Linked DNA regions of Kluyveromyces lactis. The protein of the gene in region 1 binds, or shares a complex with, the protein of each later gene. Links are inferred from orthologs where the notes say so. Each region holds a gene or a part of one and is shown in the gene's direction. Other genes may lie near its edges. The genes, in order: IMG1, MRPL49 and RTC6.

Region 1 (2,382 bases):
ACGTTCCCTATTGCACGTGACCACATTCTTTACTACAACCAAGTTTCTTTTCCGAACGTTTGATTCAAAATTTTAAAGCTCATCTCGGTCATCGCCAAACATTTACGAACTAACAATGGCTACTTGAGCAAGCTGTTTGCATTGATATGCTCTGTTAATCAACTGACGGGAATAAAGTATAATAGGATAACAATTACAAGAAGTTTGAGATCGAAATGTCACGTCCAGAAGATTTGGCACCACCAGAAGTGTTTTACAATGACAGTGAATCTAAGAAGTATAGTGGCTCCACAAGAGTGCAACATATTCAAGCTAAAATGACACTTCGGGCCTTAGAACTTCTCAACCTGCCACATACATCATATATCTTGGATATTGGGTGTGGGTCTGGTTTAAGTGGTGAAATCATCACTGAAGAAGGACATATATGGTGTGGATTAGACATTTCTCCTAGTATGTTAGCTGAAGCGCTAGAAAGAGAAGTTGAAGGTGATCTTATGTTACACGATATAGGTCAAGGTATTCCATTTAGAGCAGGTGTATTTGATGCGGCAATTAGTATATCTGTGATTCAATGGTTATGTAATGCGGACACATCGTACAACGATCCAAAGAGAAGGCTCATGAGGTTCTTCAATACACTATTTGCTAGTTTGAAGAAAGGAGGAAAATTTGTAGCACAATTCTATCCAAAGAATGATGATCAAATAGACCAAATCTTGGGAGCAGCAAAAGTAGCTGGATTCTCTGGTGGCCTTGTCATTGATGATCCCGAGTCCAAAAAGAACAAGAAGTACTACTTGGTATTAAGCTCCGGATCTACAGAACAGAATGAACAAGTCAACTTGGATGGTGTTAAGATGGATGCAGATCTAATGGTAAAGAGAGAGCGTAAAAAGAAACTAGTTGAATCAAGTAAGGATTACATCAACAGAAAGAAGGAGGTGATGAAAAAAAGAGGTAGAAAGGTAGCTCTCGACTCGAAGTTTACGGGTAGAAAGAGAAGACCTAGGTTTTAGTATGGTCTTGCATATATAGAATTAGTAGATACGCACTTAATACAATCAGCAAACATGGACTGAAACGTTATCATTCATTCACCATTTTCCGTGTCTATTGCATCTGCCATGATCAAAACGTTTAAAATGATCATCAAACCTATGTTGTAGTTTTCCATAGAAAGAACATTCGAAAATTTTGGTTAAAAAAGATGGAAACATAAGTACCTAAGAGTTAAGAAAGCACTGAAGCGCAGTTTATATTTGAGTTTAAGCCTTTACTACCCGTCAGATCAAGTTCCCATTCCAAAACTATATTAGTCCCATACAATGTTAAAGAGACTACTACCTACCGTTATCAGACAATCTGTTAGAAGTTATCAACTTCCAGCTAAGAGTGGAAGAAAGATTATTCCAGTTTACCCACCAGTTGAAAGAATATCCTCCCCATTAGTAGTGAAGACTCTAGCTGATCATGATCTAAAACAACTTGACCCAACTGGTGTAAAAACAGAGATGGTTTCAAAGAAAAACCCAAATCGTCTACGTGCAGGTGATGTTCTTCGTGTAGTTTACGATTCCAAGAAATGCAACTACGATAGTTTTACTGGATATGTGCTATCGGTAGACCGTAAGCCAATAGTACAAGACACATCCATTCTATTAAGAGATTATATTTATAAAACCTGTGTGGAAATGAGAGTGCCAATCTTCTCACCATTGGTAGAGAGAATTGATTTGATTAGAAGAGCGGATGGTAAGAGACGCAGAAGTAAACATTATTACATCAGAAACACCAGATTGGATGTCGGAGATTTGGAAGCAAGTATGAGAAAGAAGAAATGAGCACATTCACACTATCAAACACTTGCTGAATTTTCATAAAATGAAACATGTACATAGAAGCAATTCAAACATATAGTAAGTAATGCTCGATATCAATGCAAACCCAAAGACAAGGAAGATTCAAAGTTGAAAGAGCTCCAGAGTTGAACCATAATGCAAGGTACTCTATGCAGGTCCAGCTTCTCTAGGTAAAGTTATTTGTATCATTAGCATGTCGGGTGGATATATAATTGTATAATCTGTAAAATAAAAAGGCGGATTATGCTAGTCCTTATACCTCATCAAGTGCATCCAATAAGAAAGGAAAATCATGAGAAAGGATAAGCATAAGAAAGGATTTGTACGCTCTATCTAAAACAAAGCTGCATTGAGTGAGCAAGTTGCTCTATTAGAAATGAAAAGATTACAAGCAATTTTGGTCCGCATTTTTGATAATTTATGAAGGTTCTTGATTGGTTCAAAAAAGTAGTGGTATAATGTTATGAAAGCCGTACCAGCCGTCTCTATTGAAAAAAAATTGAAATAAGCTGACATTAAA
Region 2 (2,253 bases), about 740 kb from region 1:
TAGTAATAGTAATAATAACATACGAGTAACACTAATTCAAATCTTAATTCTCATGTCATCAATACATACTGCAATTTGTTAATTTGGGTATTGTTGGATTTCTCTTCCTTTTCGTCTCAATGCATCACTTAATTTTATGAATCTGAAACCATGAATTCTTGTTATTGACAAAAACTGGTCTGTTTAGAACCGAACTGGATCTTAATAAATTGAACCCCGAAGTCCAAAGAGCCCACCAATACACTTTCACACCCAATGGCATCATCTAAGGCTTCTATCTTCTCCTTCCTTCCTCTTTACAACCTACTTTCTGCTTCTGCCTGGGCTTATGTCCTATATCAAGTCGTGACCCTTTACCCAAAGATCGGTCAACCAAGTTTCTTTATTGCTACCAAGGATTTAGTCACGTACGTTCAATGCGGTGCTATAATTGAAGTCACAAATTCTTTGTTTGGAATAGTCCGTGCTCCGCTAGTGACCACTGCTGCTCAAGTGGCCTCTCGACTCTTGGTAGTCATCGGTATCTTCCAGTATGTGCCGGAAGCAGAAAATGCGCATAAAATATATTACATCACGTTGTTGTCGGCATGGTGTATTGCTGAAATAGTGAGGTACATGTTCTACTTCTTCAACTTGGTGGCTCAAGCGCCTACTGTACTTGTTGTATTGAGATATAACATGTTTTACGTGCTATATCCATTGGGCGTCGGCAGCGAATTGTTCATAATTTATTCTGCATTGCCGTTGGCTGAAGCAAAATACAATATCTTGTACAAGTATTTCTTAATTGCAGGTATGCTAGCCTACATTCCAGGGTTCCCGGTGCTATTCTCACACATGGTTGCCCAAAGAAGGAAGGTCATGAGATCCTTGAACGGTGATAAACGCAAATCTGCATGAATTGTCACAGGATTAAAAGAATAGTTTGACTCATGTATAAAAGTTCTGTAACATTTGTAACATACCCGAATGAATGCACAAATGAAACGACGCTGTCCCTTGGCGTGGCCGTTGGCTCTTCCTTCTCATGACTGTGTGTGTGCCCTACTTTTCACGTCACGTCACGTGACTGACATCAACACTTAACTCTCGAAGGCTCAAAAAATTTTCTGTTGAAACAGTATACGACTAGTTGAACAACATTTAAGACAAGTGAGAAGAAGCAGATTGAAAGGGCTATTGCATCTGCCAATTGTCGTTCGAATCAGTGCAGAAACGATGTTCAAGAATATCAGTCATATGTTTGCCCTCCCAGTAAGGCAAATGGTGGGTTTCAGCCCATTTCTTCAACCTTTGAAGAGAAGTTTCATCAGAACAACACACTCGGTAGCAGAAAAAGCGAAGGTGAATTTAACGCCGTTGAAGTTATCCAATGAGCTATATGCCGTATTCAGAATACACAACAGACCATACTTGGTGACAGAAGGAGATAAGGTTATCTTACCGTTTAAACTGAAGCAAGCAGAGGTCGGCGATGTGCTAAATTTGACTGATGTGACTACCATTGGTTCTCGTAACTTCAAGCTCGTGGACGAACCTATTGATCCATCTCTATACACTATTAAGGCTACAGTTCTTGAGAAGACAAAACGCCCGCTTAGAGTGAGAGAAGTTACCAAGAGAAGAAACAGGAAAGTGCGTCATGCGGTCAATAAAGCCGATTTGACTATTCTGAGAATATCCGAGCTAAAAGTCAATTAATGAACTAACCCTCCTACAAAATCGTGTAAATAAAAGTTTAATATAATGTTAGGTCGTTATAGATCGATTAGAAATACTATACCATCTAGTAACTATGTTTTAGTGGCAGCATCTCATCGAATTTGTTAGAAACGTTTACCGTTTTAGAGAATAGATATAAATTCAAATAGAAACAATTGTAATTAATACCATTTTAATCGTTAATAAAGAGGGGAGAAAGACGATAAGAGAAGAGCTTAGTGCAACAATTACTGGGTATCGATACTTTAGTATCTGATAAGTAAAGTCCCGCTAAATATAGATGAACCGTGGATGATATGTCTTTCTTGAAGAAGAAGAGTAGCACTGCTGGACATTCAAGGTCAGGATCTGCCTCATCTATACTCAACAAACATGTTGATCCTGCCAATATCAGTGAGTTTTATCCATCGTCATTGGATCACAAGGTGACCAGTGGTTTGAAGAACGATTATAGTTTTGATTCCAGCAGCAAGGGATCCAGGAAGTCCTCTGGTGGGAGCACCAATTCGTTAACATCTGAGCGACTATTAT
Region 3 (2,401 bases), on another chromosome or scaffold:
TTGGCGATAATCGTTCCATCTCTGTGAGCTCCGCATCTATATTCTCTTTTTGTTCAGGGGTCTCTTGCACTTGCACTGGTACCTGCAATTTGACCGGAGACTGATAACCACCGTTAGATAATTTCCTTCTTTTTGACTGCGGGAGTTGAGTTGGTTCTAGTTGAGTTGAAGAAACTATCTGTGACTCTCGCATCTCCAGAGGAGCCTGCACGTTTGTAAATTCCATTGTTTCCTCTGTAATTGCTGGTATCTTAGGTAATTTGAAAGCAGATTCTGAATCTGCATCTAGCGTAGGTTTTTCTGCATCCATCCGTATTTGGTCAGTTATTTCCATAGACTCTTCTTCGTTAAAGCGGCGTTTCTGCGGTTCTGTAAGGTCCATTGTTTCCTCCAAAACTTGGTCTTCGTTACCATTCTCTTCTTCTTCTTCCGCAGCAGTAGAGGTTTCTTGCGGTACCACATTATCGTCTGGTTTAGCGCTATGTTTTGCAAATAACTGTGTTATATCCATTGAAACCTCTTTGTCGAACACAGGTTGGTACCCATCATTTTTCGGTTCGCTTGGAGACTCCAATTTTTGGAATATTGAACCTATCGGACTAGTAAATTCCATTGTTTCTCCAGAATTGTCGTTATCATTTTTGGTATCGGCCATAGAGGCTTCAGCTACTGCCACTTCCAATTTTAAAGCGGATTTCCTTCGAGGTTCCCTTACATTTTGAATCGATTGTGGTATGAATTCGAACTTGTGCAAAGTCACATCTGGTGCAAAGGACACACGGCGATTTCCCTTCGAAATCGCAGCACTGATCCGGGATGTCGTATTGTTTCCGTCCAGTATATCTTCTTTGGTAATTCCCTCAGTAGGAAACTGTATCTGGGACATAGTCAAATTATGACTGGTGTTAGTTGTATCATCATCCTTAAATTTTTGCTTAAGGATACTTCTCGGAAGCAAAGACAATCGTTTTGGATCTGTCATATGAAGCGAGACTATCAACACAGGGTGAAATATGATAATAAATGGAAACTTAACCTAAATATTAGTCCTTAAGTTTATGATGATTCGGTATTTGTGTGTCAATATATTGATCTAAAATTCGATTGTTTACGTTTTCGAAGTTCAATGTTTTCGATTCAGAGCGCTGCTGCACATACAGTGAGAACCGAGAAAAAGGATAAAACAACTGCCTTGAAGAGTCTCTTAGAAAGGATGGGTGTACTTCATCAATTATTTATTTGTTAGTGATTCGAAACGGTCTTCAGATTTGCCCAAAGATGTTCACTAGATGAGGATGTTCAAGATCTCAGGTCATAACCATCACGTGCTATAGTCCGGGTAAATATCTTAATCTCCATTGAAACTATTTTGAAAAATTATCGAAGGCCTTTTCATGGTAGATCATCAGCTATAGAGGGCATGTTCAGTCGGTGTGATGCCTTATTGACGATTGTGGACTCCATTAGTACGTTTCAAGACCGTGGGTGATATCAAAAACTGAAAACTCTTCACAGGTATAACTCTGGAGCCCGATATAATATAAAGAGAGGGAAATACATACATAATGAGCACACTTTTCGGAAGTACGATGTTGAACTCGTTGACAAGACTGACAAGGCCAGCTGTGAAAAGTATCAATATGCTATCTATGCCAATGATGGGTCTTATGAACCCTCCTTTGACCAGAGGTTTTAAGGTAAGAACTTCCATCAAGAAGTTCTGTAACGATTGTTACATGGTTAGACGTAAGGGCAGAGTGTACGTTTACTGTAAGTCCAATAAGAAGCATAAACAACGTCAAGGTTGAATTACAATCGCCCTCCCATTCGTCCCAATCTTTCATGTATATAGATAAGTCATAATGGAGGATGTGTTCTTTTCTTGAATGTGGAAAAATGCAGCCTTCTTTCTATAAATAATTTCCATTCTATACTAATAAACTGGTTTTAAATATATAAAATTCTGAAGTTTAGATGGTTAGATATTATTCATCTCGCCAACAGGAAAGTCCTAATCCTCCTATTAATATAAGTGTTTTCTGGACGTTTGGTAACGTAACTATATCACTGGAACCGGTATCTGCTACTGTGGTATATTTGCTCTCCGTTATTTTCAGTTTGTCATTCGTAATGTCCCTAATTCTTATGACCTGGTCCACTGATGTAGCCAATAATTTTGTGTCATTATCTAACAGATTCACTGATGTTACTGTTGATGAAGCAGCATACGAATCGTGATCTAGTATTTCGGCTTTCATCGTGTAGTTGTCATTGTTCGTAAATTTAGTGATGGCTACAGCATTGTCATCACCCCCAGAATATACTTTGAATGAATCCGAAGACTTGTCAAGCTTCACGTCGAGTGATTTGATACCTGCTGTGTGTACCAGGATTTTTTCGG

Evidence for each region.
Region 2: IMG1 (region 1) and MRPL49 share a complex: the UniProt entries of both Saccharomyces cerevisiae proteins name them as parts of the mitochondrial large ribosomal subunit. The link is inferred for Kluyveromyces lactis from reciprocal best matches to the Saccharomyces cerevisiae genes IMG1 and MRPL49.
Region 3: IMG1 (region 1) and RTC6 share a complex: the UniProt entries of both Saccharomyces cerevisiae proteins name them as parts of the mitochondrial large ribosomal subunit. The link is inferred for Kluyveromyces lactis from reciprocal best matches to the Saccharomyces cerevisiae genes IMG1 and RTC6.

What each region holds. Positions count from the first base shown.
Region 1 is NC_006042.1:571,681-574,062, forward strand, and holds IMG1 (mitochondrial 54S ribosomal protein bL19m), read left to right. Parts: upstream 1-1,328; coding exon 1,329-1,844; downstream 1,845-2,382. Other genes in the region: BUD23 (18S rRNA (guanine1575-N7)-methyltransferase), read left to right, coding at 216-1,019. UniProt on the Saccharomyces cerevisiae protein: Component of the mitochondrial ribosome (mitoribosome), a dedicated translation machinery responsible for the synthesis of mitochondrial genome-encoded proteins, including at least some of the essential transmembrane subunits of the mitochondrial respiratory chain.
Region 2 is NC_006042.1:1,309,103-1,311,355, forward strand, and holds MRPL49 (mitochondrial 54S ribosomal protein bL21m), read left to right. Parts: upstream 1-1,218; coding exon 1,219-1,701; downstream 1,702-2,253. Other genes in the region: enoyl-CoA hydratase PHS1, read left to right, coding at 256-900; mitogen-activated protein kinase kinase kinase BCK1, read left to right, coding at 2,019-2,253. UniProt on the Saccharomyces cerevisiae protein: Component of the mitochondrial ribosome (mitoribosome), a dedicated translation machinery responsible for the synthesis of mitochondrial genome-encoded proteins, including at least some of the essential transmembrane subunits of the mitochondrial respiratory chain.
Region 3 is NC_006041.1:1,683,332-1,685,732, reverse strand, and holds RTC6 (mitochondrial 54S ribosomal protein bL36m), read left to right. Parts: upstream 1-1,565; coding exon 1,566-1,808; downstream 1,809-2,401. Other genes in the region: kinetochore-microtubule binding complex subunit SPC105, read right to left, coding at 1-982; tRNA (34-2'-O)-methyltransferase regulator RTT10, read right to left, coding at 1,986-2,401. UniProt on the Saccharomyces cerevisiae protein: Component of the mitochondrial ribosome (mitoribosome), a dedicated translation machinery responsible for the synthesis of mitochondrial genome-encoded proteins, including at least some of the essential transmembrane subunits of the mitochondrial respiratory chain.